Caenorhabditis elegans: one gene and its partners. The protein of the gene in region 3 purifies or fractionates together with the protein of the main gene of each other region. This does not show direct contact. Each region holds a gene or a part of one and is shown on either strand. Other genes may lie near its edges. The genes, in order: Y104H12D.2, egc-2 and C24H10.2.

Region 1 (8,178 bases), on a different chromosome or scaffold from region 3:
TTAGCACTATGTCATTTTTTAATGAAAAATCGAATTTGTGGTTACCGTATCCCTAAATCCGTGCAAAAACCGCATCAATGCACCGGATTTTACGACAAAATGCGGAAAAACGCGGTTCTACGTAATAATCGAATTTTTTCTGCATTTTGTCGTAAGATCCGATGCATTGGTGTGATGTTTGGGGCTACAGTAACCCAAAAATGACAATTTTTCGGCGTTTTCCGCACCAAAAATCGATAATTAAGTGGATTTTGCAGTTTTTCCGCAAAAAAAAAACCTACCCGTCTTATCTCGAATCTTGGGCGGTGTGATTGATTCCACAAATGCACAAATGATAGTTTCTCCGGTGCAGCGGCTCGCGATACTTGCACAATCGTCTCGATCGCACATTTTCTATGGATTTTCCGGTTTTTTGGGGTAAAAAATGGGTGAAAATAGGTAAAAAAAAGCCGGAATTTTAACCGATTTTGTGCGGAAAATAAGTGCAAAATTGTGAAAAAAAAACCCAATAATTAGTATTGACAAACACGTTTTCGAGAATAAAACCGAAAAAAAAACCAAAAAAAAAATCCCATTATTCCGTGCAATTTTCACGGGAAAAATAGCAATCTGGAAGTGCTGACGGTGGCAATTGATCCAATATTGATGAGTATCGATCCATATCTTCTGGATGATTTTGGAGCAGTTTTCGGAACATGATTGTCTGAATATTTCAGGTTTTTAGGCGAAAATTTAGTGATTTTGACAAAGTTTTCACGTGAAAAATTGAAAATTTGGGCATAGCTTCCGCATCTCCAGTGACAAATGTGCTCTATTGCACAAATTGTTGGTTGGAATACGGTATTTATTGCATGTTTCAGCCGAGAATACCACTATTCAAACCATCAATTCGGATAGAGAAACACACAAGTCACAGACAATATACAGGGAAATTCAGTTCAGTTGCCGAGTTGCCGTACTCAAAATTTATAGCATTCCTCGGTAACTGGGATGAAAAACGCCGAAAATGTTAGAAAAAAAAACGGATAAGCTTAGAAATTCAGATTTTCAACACAATTTTGAGAAAAATTAGCAAAATCCAAGCTAATCCTAGGTTTTCAACAAAAAATTGGAAATTAGGTAGAATTTTTCGGTTTTTACAGCTTTTTAATTTAAAAAACTTTTTTAAAGTTTAAAAAAAATTTACATTTTTGGAAAAAAAACTAGTCAAAATGTGTGAAATTTTTCAAATTTTTTGAAAAATGTCGTCAGAAAATTGATTTAAATTTAGAAAATGGACTAAAACTTTTTCTAAGCGTAGCAAAATCGGTCAAAGTATCCTAATTTGTTTAGATATTTGAAAAATTTTGAATTTTTTTTAATTCCTGAAAATTTCCAATTTTTCATTTTTTTGCAAAGGAGGCCAGAAATATCTGAAAACGGTATGGAAAATGGGTTTTCCGAATTTTTATCTAATTTTTGTTGACAAAATAATTTAATTTACATAAAAATCAACCTTTTTAATAAAATATTCACATTTCTAACAAAAGTTAGTAAAATATCAAATTTTTAGCGCATTTTTAGTAAAAATTAAGGCTCTAAAATGCCAATTAAAGTGGAAAATTATAAAAAATTCTGCATAAAACCGGTAAAATTTAACCAGAAATATCAAAATTTCAGCCAAAGTGGGAGCTTCCAAAATAAACTTTTTGGATCTAAAATTGAATGTTTTTTTTTCACTTTTTTTAACGCAAAATTCCGAATTTCCAGGCAATTTAGGGTTAAAATTTCCGATTTTCTCAGCTCATTTTTAGCGGAAAATCCCAAATTTCCACTCAAAACCCCGTACCACAAGACACGCAGGAGTCTGTGCATACGAATCCGACGTGTTCACTTTTTTCGGCATCACAAGTTCATGAGAATCGGCAATTTTTTTCCATTCAACAGCGTCATATCTTCCATTGATTAGCATAGCTTTGAACATAACGTGATTATCGATTGATATGACGTCATTTAGTGCTCGAGCCGAAGGACTATCATCTGCTCCGCCAGTGTATTTTAGAATTGGGCATCTGCAAAAAAAAAGGCGATTTTTGGTGAAAATTTTAAGTTTTTTGGCCAAAAATTTATGAAATTTGGCCCAATTTTGGCTTTTAAAAGGTGTTTTTCCTGAAAAATGAAAATTTGGGCATAGCTTCCGCATCCCCGGTGACAAATGTGCTCTATTGCACCGAATTGTTGGTTGGAATACGGTATTTATTGCATATTTCAGCCGAGAATACCACTATTCAAACCATCAATTCGGATAGAGAAACACACAAGTCACAGACAGTATTGGGAAATTCAGTTGCCAAGTTGCCGTATAATTTTGACCTACTTTGCGCAAAGTCTGAAAAGGTTGGGTCTCGCCACGAAAAAAAATTCGAATTTCCTTTAAAAATAAACAAAAAATACAAATTTTCCGATTTTCATGGGAAAAACATCGAAAAATTCAAAAATTTGCCGTTTTTTCCGTAAAAAACGGATTTTTTACCTGGAAAAAGCCACAAAAAATTCCGAAAAACAAGCGGAAAAGCTAAAAATTCTAATTTTCAGCAGGATTTTGATAAAAAATTAGAACAATCCAAGAAACCACTAGGTTTTCAACAAAAATTGGAAATTGAGCAGAATTTTTCAGTTTTTACAGCTTTAAAAAAAAACATCATAAATTCCGAGTTACCGTACCCAAATTTATAGCTTTCCTCGGAAACTGGGATTTAAAAAAACCCAAAAAACTACCAATTTTTAACAGAAAATTGTCAGAAAAAAGGGATTTTTATGGATTTTTTTTCAAATTTTATAATAAATTTTAATGTCGAAATTTCCAAATTTTCTACTTTACACCCGAAAACAGCCAAATTTCCGCGCTAAATGAAAATTTGGGCATAGCTTCTGCATCTCCAGTGACAAATGTGCTCTATTGCACAAATTGTTGGTTGGAATACGGTATTTATTGCATATTTCAGCCGAGAATACCACTATTCAAACCATCAATTCGGATAGAGAAACACACAAGTCACAGACAATATACAGGGAAATTTTCTGAAAATTTTCTGGATTTTTGACATTTTCAACCAAAAATATTCTAGAATTTCACAGAAAAATCTGGAAAATTCCAGGATTTTTCCTATATCATTTACTATATATAAAGCGCGTGTCCTTCTGTCCTTATGTAGTTTGATCTCTGATCAGAGCAACGAAATTTTGGGAAACCTTATGCTAAGTGCGCAGCAGACATCGATCGAGGTCCGCGATAGACACCGTATATCTAATGTGTTTTCTCAAAAAGTCGGGGGCCGCGCCGTAGGTGCGGTCCACGGCTGGTTTCTTATATTTTCCACATAGAAAATGTGAATTTCCCGATTTTTTTCCAATATTTTGGTGAAATTGTATGATATTCACTGAAAAAAATGTAAAAACTGATGAAATTTGATGATCAAATGCAATTTTCTCCGAAAATTTGTACAAATTTCGATTTATGGTCAACATTTTGACATTTTTCCGGAATTTTTCTGGTAAAATTTCCAGATTTTCACTGAAGAAATTTTGTAAAAAGCCAATTTTTAGTGAAAGTTTATGTTTCTGTGAAATTAGCTTTTATATTTCTAATTTCTGTCTGAAAATAAGCCCGAAACAGTCAATTTTTCTCGATTTTACAGAGTTTTTATCTAAAAATTCGATTTTTTTTTTTCGTTTTTTTTACAGAAAGTTATAAAATTAAGATTTTTAAGATTTTTTTTAGTTTTTAACATTACTAACGTAACAAGTATTCCATTCTTTTCATCTAATACATGTGCTTCCATTTCATCAACTTCCACAACGACTCCCCACGAAATTTTTACTTCTCCAGTTGCTACCGCCTGAAAAAAATTGAAATTTTTATTGATTTTCGGCATATTTTGGGGGAAAAATTTGAGCATTTTTCGTGTTTTCAGCTCGAAAATTGGGCGAAAATTGAGTTTTTTGTGAATTTTTTGCAATGTTTCGGTTTTTAGGCAAAAATTTGGGCATTTTTAATTAATTTTCCGAGTTTTTAGCCGAAAAAAAATTTTTTTTGGCCAAAAAAAACAGATTTTTGTATAATTAGTGCAATTTGGATAGTTTTTCCGTGTTTTGAACAGAAAATTGGACAAAAAGTCTTTTTTTTTTTTTGGATATTTTTTCGCAATTTTTAGGTTCTTATACAAAAATTTGGGTATTTTAGAGTATTTTCCAGGTTTTAGCGGAAATTTGGGCAAAAAATTGAACTTTTTGGAGAACTTTTAGGTTTTTATACAAAAATTTGGATATTTTAGATCATTTTTAAGTTGTTAGCTGAAATTTGGGCAAAAATACCAAAATGGCTCAACTTTGTCATAAAAATTCGTTTTTTCGGGAGAAAAGTTATATTTTTAGTCGAAATTTGCCATTTTTTAAATTTTTTAGCTCTAAATTCACATTTTTTTACTTGAACATTGGACATTCGGCGGCTCAAAACTCCAATTTTCTGCTCTAAATTCACTTTTTCAGCAGTTTTCCGAGCTCTAGATCAAAATTTATCGATTTTTCTCGATTTTCCACCTCTTTCTCCTCATTTTCCTCGACAACAAAGTGTTTTACAGCCTCAACAGCGACCCATTTACACCCTTTTCGTTCGATTTGCTCCTTGATTTTTAGCACCAGTTGATTGCTGGTATTCACGTATCGGCCCACATTTTTCACGATTTTCGCGTCAAAAGCGTCTCCCGGCACGAAAATTGTGCCTTTTTCGTCGTTTTGAGCAAACGCGTAGCTATCCGTGGTGCTGGTCACCTGGGCGATCTGGAAATACGGGATTTTCGAGATTTTTTAGCTTTAAAACTATGGAAAATTCAATTTTCTGACTATTTTTTCACTTAAAACCAAGTTTTTAACCCTAAAAACCCACCAATGGCCCGAAAACTTCATTGGAAATTCTGGCGGCCGCCAACATTGAGCCTTCGAGCTTTTTCACGAGTTTTGCCTGATAATTGCAGTTATTTTTGCGTCCTATCTGTTTAATAACCACCATTTGCACAGTTTCGTTGTATCTGAAACACTTTATCGATTTTTTCCGGGAAAAGTTCGAAAAAACTTGAATTTTCACCCAAAACTTTGATTTTTAATTGATTTATGTAACTTTTCCAGCAAAAAAAACTCACGAAAACTTGTCGAGCAAGCTTAAAAGCGTCTCGTTCTTGGTTCTGGCCGCTGCAATCGGTATAAATACGTTTCCAAGACTGGTGGTGGCGAATGCGTAGGTTTCCTCAAGTTTTGAGATGATTCCAGACAATTCCGTTGGTTCTGGCATAGTTTTTTGCTTGAAATCTCTAAATTTTCAGTTATTCTAACAAAAAATCACGAAAAAACCGTTGAAATCAAAGATTTTGGCTCAAAAATAAACAATTTTATTCAAAAAACAAAACGCGATAAACAACACGCGCTGGCGGGATATCGGAGTGTCGTTAATTCAAATGCGCGGGAGTTCAAACCGAAAAATTGCAATATATCGCAGAAAGTGCGGCAAAACCCCGATTTAAATCAATTTAATTCGCAATTTCAAAAGATTTTAGTAATGAAACATTAATAAATTTATTCCAGTGTTCAGAAGTTGCATATGTGTGAAGTAGGTCAATGATATATGGGGGAAAATCACGAGAAAAAAAAATCGATAAAAGTTCACAAAAATGGTGTAGAAAGTGAGAAAAAGCACATTAGTCAGGGTAAATTAAAAGAATTGCGCCATGTTGGGCAGAAAATGAGATTCTATTAACAATATGCGACAATTTTCGGCGAAAAAACACAATAAAAACAGAAGAAAAACGACAATTTTTAGGTAAAAGTCGATAATTTCAGGGTTTTTTTGGAAAAATCAATAATATTAGCGGTTACTATTAGAATTCTAGGATACTAGGCAATTCTACAAGCAATTTAATTAAGAAAATAGGGGAAAATACAAAAAAAACAGGAATTATCGATTTTCCGGCGGAAAAATCGATAATTTTGTGGATTTTGTTGGCGGAAATGGTGGTGGAATTGTGAGAGGAAGTGATTTTTAATGATAATTAAAAAGAAAACAAGAGATCGGTTGAAAAATTATCGATTTTCAAGCAAAAAATCGATAGTTTGGGCGGAATTGGTCATGGAATTGTAATCGGAAGTGATTTTTAGCAATAATTCAAAAAAAAAACAACGAGATCGGGAAAAAGTGATGAAAAAATAGCGAAAAATCGATAAATTTCGTAAAAAATCGATTTTTCTGTAATTTAGAATTGGTCATGGAATTGTAATCGGAATTGATTTTTTTGACATGAAATCGGGATAAAAACAACGAGATCGGGAAAAAGTGATGAAAAATTTGCGAAAAATCGATAAATTTCTAGCGGAAAATCGATTTTCAGTGGGTTTTAAAGAAAACTATCATGAATTCATGATAGCAATAGGGGGGGGGGGGGTTTCAGTGAGAAATTAGGATAAATTGATTTTTAAATATTAGCGAAAAATCGATAAAAATCGATTTTCTATCAAAAAAAAATCAATAATAATTAATTCCCTAGCGGAAAAATCGATTTTTCAGTGGGTTTTTAAAGAAAATTATTATGAATCAGTGGGAAATCGAGTGAAAACGACGGCAAATTATAGAAAATACGAATTCAACAGAAAAAAATCGATAATTATTGATTTTCCAGGGGAAAAAAACAATTTTTCCAGTCGGAATTCAAATTAAAAACCGGCAAAATTGCGACAAAACGTGACGAATGTTCAGTAATCTTGATTTTCAGTTCGTTGACGTCGAGCACTGTGCCGAGCGGCCGAAAAATCGATAATCCATGCGAATTTTCAAGTTTTTCGCACATTTTTCCGTTCATCCAAAGGGTGAAGCATGGGACATCGATGTGGGCGTTGAAGCGGTTCTGGAAATTAAAAAATTAAAAAATTTTGAGATTTTTCAGGGCGAAAATCGCATTTTTCAATGAAAATTGGATGAAAATCTTGCGCAAATACACTGAAACTGACAGCAATTTGCAAAAAATTCGAATTTTCGGTGAAATTTACCTTTAAAAAAAAATGAAATTTTCTATATTTTTTGTCGTAACTCCGCAGTTTTTCGTAGGATTTAGTGTGGACTAGGTTACTGTAGCACCAAAAGTTTGCAGTGCACCAGATCTTACGACAAACTGCAGAAAATTTAAATTTTTATTGAAAATCTCCTAAAACATGCAATTTGATCTCAATTTCCACCTAAAATTCAAGTAAAAGGTGTTTGCACAAATTTGACGCTACAGTAATCCAAAAAACACCAGATTTGACGACAATTTGCAGAAAAATCTGAATATTCGGTCAAATTATCAACAAAAAAAAAAGAAGCAATTTTCTAGATTTTTTCACGTTTTTGAACTCAATTTTTACTGAAAATTCAAGTTTTGTGCAATTTGTCGTAAAATACAGTGTTTTGCACACATCTGACGCTACAGTAATCCAAGAAACACCAGATTTGACGACAATTCGCAGAAAATTCGAATTTTCGGTGAAATTTACCTTTAAAAAAAAAGCCATTTTCTTTACTTTTTCACGTTTTTGAACTCAATTCTTACCGAAAATTCAAGAAATTTTTACATTTCTGCAATTTGTCGTAAGATTCTGTGTACTGCACATATATACGGCTACAGTAATCTAAGAAACACCGGATTCGACGACAACTTGCAGAAATTTCGACTTTTTTCTGCAATTTGTCGTCAGATTTGGTGTAAACACCGATTTATGGCTACAGTAACCGGAAAACTGGATTTGAACGGTTTTTTTTTGGTAAAAAATGGAGTTTTTCTACAAAAAGTATTAAATTGCGCAAAATTTTGACGACAAAACGCGAAAAATTCAAATTCTACGTTTAAACGGGATTATTCTGCATTCTGTCGTAAGGTTCGGTGTATTACCGATGTGTTTGCACAGGACCAGGAGTTTTCGCAGTTTTTCGCAGCTCAAAAATCGCACTTTCACGGCTGAAAAATCACGTTTTCCGGATTTGTAGAGAAAATTCACGATAAATTCAAAATTTTCATTGAAAATCGTACGAAAATCGCGATTTCCATATAAAATTTGTTGTAAAAGCCCCATTTTTCACACATTTTCGAATCATTTTGAAACAAAAATTATTTATTTTTA
Region 2 (4,769 bases), on a different chromosome or scaffold from region 3:
AAAGTTCGAAAACCGGCAATTGCCGAAATTGCAGATTGCCAGAAATTTCCGATTGCCGCGCAGCCCTGATATATACATACGTTGAACTTTTATATCTGAGTGTGTTTGGAAAAAATAGGACACTGACAATCAAATTGTCCGTTGTCACAAGGCCACTGTGTCGCTGATAAATAATTTTTTGCAGAAACCCCGTGTCCATGGTGACTGTGAACATGGATTGATCGTTGATCTCATTTGGTCTGATCCAAATCGAAAAGATGACACAATTCAATTCAATAAAATGCGAGGAATTTCGACACTTTTCGGAAAATCAGTCGTTGACAATTTGTGCACTACACTTGCTATTGACCTGATTATCAGAGCTCATGAAATGAAAGAGGTTTATGTTTTTCATCTATACCTTTCATCTATGGTAGTATAATCATTTGAAAATTGCGAATCGTTCAATTTCGCATGTTAAATATTTTTTGTTTCCAGAAAGGACATACTTTTGAGTTTGACAACCGTCTTCTGACAGTCTTCTCAGCGCCTTATTATTCTGGACACAATTCCAATTTGGGATCAGTTGCTACAATCAGTAAAAGTTTGAAATTGCGAATCGTGACTCTGAAACCTAATAAGGGATATGATCGCTCTAAATTGGACAAGAGAACTCTTCACGATTTCGAAAAAAACTTTCAGCCACTTGATGAGAATCCTAGAAAAAACAGTGAGTTCTCCTATTATTTATTGCAAAAATCTATAAAAACAACATACTTATCCGATTGTTTTAATATTCAATTTTTTACAGTAAGTTGCCAATTCAATGTTCCACCAAACGGGCAGAAAATGTCACCATTTCTTGGAGAATACTCGATGTTTGCCCATGAAACACAGTTTTGTAAGAAAGACAATGAGACACCTGTGAAGAAGCCTTATAGGTGAGATTAAAGCTTCAGTACCTCTGGAAAATGTGACCGTCTAATTATTCGGAAACATGACTTCACAATCATGTTATAGGAGCATTTTCAATATGTGTAATTTCCAGCTCAAACCAAGATGAAGATCATTCTGTATTGGACATGATTCGCAAGACACAGAAAGGATATGGAGTAGAAGTTAGTTTGAAGTAAGTATCATTTACTATATATAAAGCGCTTATTCTGTGTGTCCATAGTTTGTAGTCTATGTAGCCTTTGTAGTCTGTGAAGTTTTGGCTTCTGGAGGGATAGTGAGTTAGGGTTAGTGTAGGGATATAGTTGGGGTACTGTAGTGGTACAATAGTGGTACGGTAGGAATACTGTAGGGTTACGGTAGTTTCATAAAAAATTAATTTTCAGCCCCAGAAGTCGGGGGCCGCGCCGAAGGTGCGGTCCACGGCTGGTTTTTTATATGCGAAGAAGTTTTTTCATGTTTACAATATTTCCAGAGATAAAGTCATGTCTCTTGAATCAATCCGCAAAAAATTGGGAATGACTACTAGTACGACGCCGCCTCCGCCAAGAACTCCATCTCCGGACGCTCCACTCGCCCAATCTCCGCCAATTCCACGATCGCCTCCGAGTTCTACTGAAAATGCGTAGATTTCCTTTGAATGAAGTATACTGTAGAAAATGTTCAAGTTTGAGTGTGTATAATTATGAAACGAGAGTAACATGAAACACTTTTATGAAATGAGGTTGAAGACTCAAATCAAAAATACAAGTTTTCAAATTTAGGACAGAAACAATTCCAGAACGTAAAAAACAATACCTAGAAGTCAATAAATGGAACAACAATGAAAAACAGTAAAAATACGCTGCAAATTGGGCAGAGTTCCCAATAGTAATTATTAAACATTTTCCTTGATAGCATCATAATTATCAGAAATTATGAATTTTGTGAAGCGACCGGCACGAACTGGGCAGCGATGACACGGACGTTGGGCGGAAGAACTCGTGGGAAATTGATGATAGTCGTCTCCTCGAAGTGGAATTCTCCATCGCGCATCACAGTTCTGCGTGTCTCGATTGACAAAGTCTCCGTAGAAATTTCTGTAATAATGAACATTATACAATTATAGAATTTTGATAATCTCACGTTTGGCTCCTTCTCTGCTCTGTAGAGTGTTGATTGGAGCAACTGGTGGCACTTCTTTCATCAATTTTTCAGCTGGCCCTTTTCCAGTGATAGTCATCACGTATGGCGACGGAGCTACCGGCTCGACATTGCTGAGCTTCAAAGCATTGTCCAACTGCTCTGAGAATTTGTCAATTTCGGGCGACATCATTGGTGCTGTGAAACCACTTCTCACGCTGCCAACACTTCTTGGGGTGAGACTGTTGATGCTGTAGCCGTACCCTCCATAATAAGACTCACGGGCCTTTTGATTGTCCAACTTGCTTTGATACAGTCCACCTGAAAACATAAAAATTGTTACGTTTTCCTAGTATTCAAACAATAACCTCCATGCAAAGCCTTCATATTAGAAGAGTATCTTGATGCGTCTTCTTGGAGTAAATCTTTCGTCTCAAATGGTTCCACTTCGATATCTTTTCCATCTCCGTGTTCATCCGTTTCTCCAACCTTCTTCGGGCACATTCTCGAAATGTGTCCATGCTCTTGACAATGGAAGCAGTGGCCTGGCCCACCTCGCCCACGTCTACCGGTTCGGCGGCCAGAGCGTGGTCTCTTCGATGAAGATCCCATACCATCGGATCGGGGCGAACTTCGGAAAGATCCACGCCGTGGACTACCCATTATATTCTCAGATGGCAGAGGTGTCACGCAACGTTCATTATTCATGTAAAGAGCATCCGAAACAGCAACACGAGATGATCTGCTTTCTCGATAACTGCTGTACCCTCCTCGTACGGAACCAAATCCAGAACTGTCGTTTAGGTGAGAGGAGTTTCTGGGGATTCTACCGCCAAGTCCACTAACGGATCCAAAATCAGAGAAGCCTTCACCTCCTCCAAATCCTCCTCGATACTTTCTCGGTTGATCAGTTAGCGCTCCGAATGCTCCACTATTTTGAGTTTTTGGCCATGGAGAGTATTGAGCTCTCTCAAGATAATGTTGTCTGTCCTGAAATGAATAGTTTACAAATTGTCATTAATTTGATAAAAAATACCGTTCTCGCCGACATTCCGTTTTCCATTGACTTCATTTCACTCGACAATTCCGACATATCCGACCGAAATGTCTAAAAAAATTATTTTGAGAAACTGGCAGAACGCTGAATATTTAAAAATTAATCTAAAAACCATTAATTCATCAGAAATGGGTGAGAGAAATGAAGAAAATTGAAGAAACGTGCCGAACGAGTTCAGAATTTCGTGTCGGGACCAAAACCTACAGTAACCAAGTCAGTATTTAAAAACGCGTTATTAAGAGGCACTACAAAACGGGGATCTGCGGAAAAATGTTATTCCAATTTCTCTTTCAAGCGAATCCGATAATTTAAATATTATTCGTATTTATTCATTAAATTAAAAGAGAAGGCGTATAAAACACAATTGGCAGCTTGCCGAACAGCGGAGCTGATTACTGTGTTGGAAAAAACAGAAAAATTTAATTAATTGACATACTAATGATAAAAGGGAAGAGTGTGGACAAAGTTGAAATGTGGAAATTCGAAACTTGCCTAAAATTAATTTAGGAGCCTCTATAAGAGGAAAAATAATTGAGTAAAATGATAGTGAATTATCAGAGATCTCATTGGATGTTGCATTGAGATAGATGTTGTATTTTATATGATAAAAAACGAAATGTACATCAAAAGAAAAAAATGCAAGACGTTGTTAATCAAGATCGATGACTTCTTGAACCTGCTGCGGATCATGGTTGAAATTTTTGCTTAGATACATATCACGAAGCTGACGGGCATCTATAAATTTTAAAAAATTATACGAAATTTTTTCTAGTAAACTAACGATTCTCAAAAACACTTCCGACAGCGTCAAGAATTGTTCCATCACGTAGTTTCACATAATATCCATTTTTCGGAACAACTAACTGTATTGGTGTATTTGCCTGAACCTGATGAAGCTGATCTCTATGTCCGACAATGGGAAAAACGAGTTCTAAAAATTTGAATTTTCAAAAAAACTTAAACGTCAAACTCACGTCTATCAGTAATCAATTGTTGAACTGCTCCAGCCGGGGAAAATGATGGTATTTTGCTCATAACAGCTCCCGGAAAAGCTGATGGATCTCTTGGAGGAAGCATTTGTTGAGGGTTTCCTATAGCTCCTCCATTGTTATTATTCGGATAGCCATTGTTGAATGACGTCATCGTATGACCACCTCCTTGGTGATGGAATTGACTGACATTCATTCGAAGCGTGTGAGGCATTGGTGATGGACGAATTGATGGAATTTGAGGTGATGGTCCATGAGGTGGAAATTGTGACATGTTTGGCATCGGTTGTGGAAATTGCTGTGGTGGATAAGATCCAAAATTGGGTGCAAGCTGATTAGGAGATTGTTGCCAATGATTATTGAAACTATTTTGCATGTTATTATTGAACATCGGAACTGGTGGTGGACCCATCATTCCCATTGAGCTTCCAGGAGCATTGTTATAAAAGTTAGAACTGCTCAGGCCACTCAATGGATCATAGTTCTCCATACGTCGTTCTCTATCAAAAAGTAATTGAGCTTCTCGTTTTTCCTGCTCGCTGAGTGATTGCTCTGACTCCATTATCAAGGTTTCATGAAGGAACGGTTTCCCGGCAAACATTTGACTCATTCTCTTAGTGATTGAGTCTAGAACCGGATCTCCGAAATCCCAATCATCTGTATTCCAT
Region 3 (5,689 bases):
GGTTTGAAGTGAGCGCGACTCAATGGTTATGTGTTCCGGAAAAAGCTTATCTGTATCTCTGTGATCTGTGAACTTGAATATCCGTTTTTTTTGACTTCAAGCATTGTATCGTTTAAAAGAGTTTTTTCTGAAGTGAATTTTGTTGAAAAACAACCAGGAGTACGAGGAACTTGCAGTTTGGCTTATTCGGCAATTTTAGTACGTGCCAAAATTTTCAGAAACTAAAAACTACTGAAATTGACAACAACTTTCTGATTGCCGTGTGTTTCTAGTTGTGACATGGTTTATCTGTTAAGATTTCTGAAAGATGCGGGATGCGGGCAAAATCATTTATTTTCAGCAGTTTTTGTTATCTTTTTTTTTTTTTCTACTCCTGTGGATGCATAGTAAACCTATTCAATAAAATTTTAGAAATATATTTATTTACTGTCAAAGAATGTCAATTACTCAGTGTTTACAATTTTGAAAAATCGAAAGTTATTCGAAGTATCATGATATTTAATCGTTTAGGATCATCATGACTGTATTTAGACAAAGTCCCCATTGTCGTCACTCCACCTTTAAGATATGAATAAAACGGTACCAAGTGAAGAACCTTCCATTCAGAGCAAATGGAAAAAGGCAAAGCGACGCCGTAAATAAATTTTTTGTATATTCCAATGAATCCTGAAATATGTATTAACAAATTTTATAGCTCAGTCGGTAGTGGTGGACTAAGAGGCCACGAGCTTTATCACCTAGGCACACAGTTTAATTATAAAGTTTAGCAATTCACGACTGAATGATCGCATCACCATACTGTCACCTAGCTGTACCTGTATCCCAGATTCGCAGCACCTAGCGTTTGAGGAACGGATTCTCCTTCAATCCATGTAACTTTTTCATGATGCATGCTATCCTAAAATCCTTTTTTTACATTTCACTTTATTTTGTCCAATTAAAATGCTCTATAGAAATTAGTGTCGAGAAGTATAAATTTACAACAATCGATGTTTTGCTCACTTCTCTTAGTCATGTTCAGTAATTACAAACGGAGGGACCTGTTTCACGCGGAAATCTGGAATTGGTTCACACTCGAAATTGTTGGCTTACTTTTAAAAATAAACGGGATATACAATGCGTTGCAAGGAAAATCGGAAAAACAATGGGAAAGGTTACAAAATTGAAAGAGAAGGGATTTGAGTTTGAATATACAGCATTTTGGGATCAAGTTTTGAAGCAAGGGGAAAGTCGGATTCCAGAATAAAATTGTACTATAAGTTTTGAAAGTCGTTATCAGAGCCCAGATCCAGATCCAGATCCAGGTCCAGAATTCAGAGCAAGTTTTTGGAGAGACTCCCGTAGAAGTGCTCGCTGCTTCTCCGCATTGTAATAGAAACCTTTCTGTTCGAATTTTTTGATCATTTTGCTCTCGAGTTTCTTACGATCATTATCTTGTCCCATCTTCACATCTTCTTCATCCTCATTGTTACAAGTACAGTGATGACGACACTCATGCTCATACTCTTCTTCATCTTCAAAATGATCATCCTCATCATCCGAACAGTCCAATCCGAAAAGATTTCTCTTCTCAGCTCGTTGGTGCTCCATGAAGAGGTCAAGATTGTGGAAATACTTGATGGCTTGGAAAACACCGTCATAGTGAACAACGAGACGTTCAATGTCCTCAATTTCCGGCTCAAAGCATGGACACATTCGGTAGCTCTTTTTCTCCTTGTCTCCAGGTGCCGGTGGCCTTGGGTACAACGCACTGCAACGCACATCGATCCGTCGAAGGTTTTGAAGGAAATTTTTCGCGTCGTTGGGTGGGATGATTTTTGGAGTCATTTGGTGCTGAAATTAATTTTATTATATTTTTTATATATCTTAATTTCAAAAAATCACTTACACATTTGCGAACAAGTTGGTCAAGCGAGGCTCTTGCTTCTTCAATGCGCGCATAGTCTTGTGGCAACAATGGAATGCGCAGAAAAATTGAATCCGGTGATGGAGAAAACGGCGAAATGTAAGAATCGATTTCCCGATGATGCTTTTCAATTTGTTTCTGGAAAATGAATTAAAAATTATTATGTATATATGAATTCCTGAAAATTTGTACCATATTAATTGTAATTTTCACTTCCATTTTTGAATTTTTCGATCCATTTCCTGAGTCAATGTCGTCAGTATCAAAAATCATCGAAGCTTGGTTTCTGTCTTTTTCAACACGAGCCTGGTTAGAGTTAAACCGTCGGAAGTTGCTGACTTTTTCAATATTTTTGTTCTGAAATTGAGAATTGTTTGCAAATAATAGGTCATGAAAACGAAAAATAGTTTCATTATTTGAAAATATTTTTCAATTCTAGAAATGTCAATTGCAAAAAATGCTAGACTTGAGCTAGATATTTGCAAATTTAGGGTAAAGTTGGGATTAACCTATTGGATGACCAACAAATGAGCACTGAAAACAATTAAAAGTTGGCTTAATTTGGTTAAATGTTGCGGCGAAGTTTCTAAATTTTTCTGAACATATTAAACAGTCATTTAAAATTTTGAAATGTTTCTAATCAAATCTAATTGATAAATTTGGATTTCTGAGGCAATTTCGACTGATTCTACCCCACCTCCAAAACTATATTCTTTCCATTCTTCCAGCACGAAAATGAGCCATTTTTCTTAGTCGGCTTTTTGCTATCTGGCAGCTGCTGAACAGCCGGAAAAGGGAAATGCTATTTGAAATTTAGTTAGTGGGTTTCACGAAAAAGCGTTTTTTTCTCAAGAACACAAACCTCTTTCATGTTAATTTGCACAGTCACGGCGTCATCAAACAGCTTTGATCCTCCGGTCTGAAAAATAATTGAATCTCATTATTAATTCAAAAGGCGTAAGTACTAACTAACCATTTTTATTTTTTGTGAAATTTCCGGCACCCTTTGGCTTCCATTCATGGCTCAAGCTGGAGATGTCAATGTCTGAAAATGAAAATGTTTATCAAAGCGAAATTCAAAAATTCAACAATGATAGCAACACAAAACTGTATTTTCAATCAAGCTGGCACCGCCCAAAAAAAGTTTCAAAGAAAAACGAGACAGATAAGAGATGTCGTGGTTTTTTGAAAATAAAGAATTGGTTTTTTTTTCAATAGAGATGAATTAGCTTTGAATATATAAACGTTCTGGGTTGGATGAAGAAAAAAAAACGAATACATCCCCTTATCAATAATAGAACCAAAAATATATATGAAAAGTACACCCAATGTGCAAAAAGTGAAAAAGCACTAAGAAAAACTGAACGTTCAAAAGATTTTGGTGATACACAGAACGGCACTCAATTGCGCGCGCGCGCTCGTCCTTTCCTTTGCCTCCATGAGTGTTTGTGAGTGGTGTGAGCGCAGATGGTTGTGAGTGTGAATGTGCGCTGTGGAACTCTCTACTCGCTCCGCTCCGCTCCGTACGTTTCTGAGCGCGTCCCTATGTCAAGAAGAACGAAAAGAGAGCAGAGCAGCGGTGAGCATGAGTCGTCTCTGTCTTCGAAACGTCCCTGGGCCGCGGCCAACAAAATTGCCCGGGCCAATCGGTTAGTGAGGCTTACGAAATGAGAGACGTTTTTCATTATCGATTCACTGATGTTTCCCGATACGACGGGCCAGGGTCTGTTTCAATGATAAAAATATGTTATCAATTAACACGGTGGGGAAAATGAAAGATCAAAAGCAAAAGTTAATTTGGAATCAATACATGCAAGGATGGTGGTCTGAAATCAAAGAATAACCATAATAAACAGTAATGGACAAATAAAGACTAAGTATTTTGCAATTTATGAAAGTACCTAAAACTATCGGAATGATAGAATAGTTTGGAATATTCTTCTGAAATTTTTGAAGATTTTAACCATTTTTGAACATCAGTTATAATTTAGAATGTTAAAAAACTTCACCTCAAATTGATTCCAAATGTAGTTCATGTTTTTGTGATTGCAAATCAAATGCCCGTATAGTAACAATCTGTATCAGATTACAAATTTTCTGATATTTAAAATTTAAAACCATTAAAAAATTTATATTATTACTAAATAAATCAAAACTATGTAAATTTTATTAGGATTTTTGAATGTTCTTCTTAATTTTGATGCTACTCGTTTTTAGACTTCCCCTACAAAAATTAAAAATTTCAAAAATTTGAAGCAAAAACGCAGAAAAAATTTTGGAATTAATAATGTCTTGAGATACAGATCGCTTGAGATTCGAGCTTCAGTTTTGAGTAAGAAGTTTCAATTTATTGAAGCGTTTTTTTTGATAGAAAATTACAAGTTTCGTTATTCAATTCTTCAAATTTGAAAACCCTTATCACTTAAAACAAATATATTTATTTTACGAGAATATTCAGCAAATTTTAATGAGGCTTTTACAGTTTTTGTATTGAATAATATTTTCTATGCTGAACTTTGCTATTGGCTCCGTCTACGTATATTAGAATATTAGCTACTTTTGTCGGTTTTTTGGCTATGGCTCAAATAAGATCATTCCAGTATTTTGGTCCTTTGTTTGAGTGGACCGTTATTTGGACAGTTTGAAAACGTCTCTTTTTTCAATTTTCATCTGATTGTATGCTTTCCAGCAGGCCGTTTCTCGTATCGTGGACACCAATCGTTCATCAGAATTGTCCATCTGCCATCCTTGACACGTATTAAGCCCATCCTTACTTCATTTTCACATTGCTGCTTCTTTTCACATTGCTGCTGATACAGTTTGGAGTTCATTTTCGAAAGCTAATTCAAAAAACAATTGATTGATAGGTGACATATAACTAGAAAATGATAAACCACTCTTTATGTAATTTTGGAACGTTAATTGTTATTGTAAAATAGAAAATTTAAATTTAAAACAAAATTTGGTACCCAACATTTGAAAATTAAATTAGTTAATGTTTTAATTCTCCTTTTTTTTATTGTGCTCTCATTAGGCTTACACTAGGTTTAGGCTTACAATTAGAGAATATTATTTTCTAAGCCTAAGTTTTTAAGTAATTGTAAAGTTTGAATGCTAATCCATTGCATTTTACAAATTTGGGGTTATAATACACGAAAAAGAAATGTGGGCCTATGATACACATTAAAACTTTCCACTTATTGGAGCGGGTCTCGTAACATAAAAAGTGCAGGACCAATAGAAGTCACAGTACTAATTTTTAAAAATGTGCTCAGTTTCAATAACAACAATACAATTAAAAACTCCAAGATTGAAAAACATAGCATCATTTGCACCCACAAATTGACTGTGTATTTAACGACATATGGTCTCATAAAACCTTTTATCAATTATCTCATATCCTGTAAAAAAGCAAAACAAATAAAACTAATTTAAAAATTTTAATTCTTCAAGATGGGAATACATGATTTATTTACAGTGTATTTCCGATAATGATTTTTCTCAGTTAACCAATCAAAAAGCAGTATTGGAAGCAACATAAAATTTAGAAAATACACATTATACTTTCGAAATGATTCGCTTCGAATTGATCCAGACAATGGAAACCATGGTTTAAAGACAGTGGCATTTAATCGAAATTGAGGTCAGATGGTGATGTCGTTTTTATTCGCTCTGTCACCTGTAGATAAAACTGAGATAGTATTCGGCATCAGATAGGCATGTTTGAATTTTGACGAGATCCGCCTGAAAAGATAAACGATTGAAAAATGAAACTTGAAAAGT

Evidence for each region.
Region 1: the proteins of C24H10.2 (region 3) and Y104H12D.2 fractionate together in Caenorhabditis elegans (co-fractionation; one large-scale study listed by BioGRID). This does not show direct contact.
Region 2: the proteins of C24H10.2 (region 3) and egc-2 fractionate together in Caenorhabditis elegans (co-fractionation; one large-scale study listed by BioGRID). This does not show direct contact.

What each region holds. Positions count from the first base shown.
Region 1 is NC_003282.8:1,175,187-1,183,364, reverse strand, and holds Y104H12D.2 (DUF7930 domain-containing protein), read right to left. Parts: upstream 5,344-8,178; 5' UTR 5,327-5,343; coding exon 5,178-5,326; intron 5,067-5,177; coding exon 4,925-5,066; intron 4,819-4,924; coding exon 4,579-4,818; intron 3,879-4,578; coding exon 3,778-3,878; intron 2,052-3,777; coding exon 1,829-2,051; intron 774-1,828; exon of another isoform or gene 704-773; coding exon 575-703; 3' UTR 501-574; downstream 1-500. Other genes in the region: rmif-2 (RecQ-mediated genome instability protein 2 homolog), read right to left, coding at 282-390; cec-2 (Chromo domain-containing protein), read right to left, coding at 6,690-6,929.
Region 2 is NC_003282.8:8,900,040-8,904,808, reverse strand, and holds egc-2 (CCHC-type domain-containing protein), read right to left. Parts: upstream 3,164-4,769; 5' UTR 3,149-3,163; coding exon 3,092-3,148; intron 3,046-3,091; coding exon 2,424-3,045; intron 2,377-2,423; coding exon 2,059-2,376; intron 2,013-2,058; coding exon 1,849-2,012; 3' UTR 1,632-1,848; downstream 1-1,631. Other genes in the region: Putative serine/threonine-protein phosphatase C27B7.6, read left to right, coding at 185-379, 478-709, 791-920, 1,028-1,108, 1,409-1,562; rad-54.L2 (Helicase ARIP4), read right to left, coding at 3,762-3,847, 3,894-4,043, 4,087-4,769.
Region 3 is NC_003284.9:5,061,882-5,067,570, reverse strand, and holds C24H10.2 (uncharacterized protein), read right to left. Parts: upstream 2,970-5,689; 5' UTR 2,928-2,969; coding exon 2,880-2,927; intron 2,826-2,879; coding exon 2,769-2,825; intron 2,264-2,768; coding exon 2,099-2,263; intron 2,045-2,098; coding exon 1,889-2,044; intron 1,834-1,888; coding exon 1,276-1,833; 3' UTR 908-1,275; downstream 1-907. Other genes in the region: C24H10.3 (NR LBD domain-containing protein), read right to left, coding at 5,582-5,650.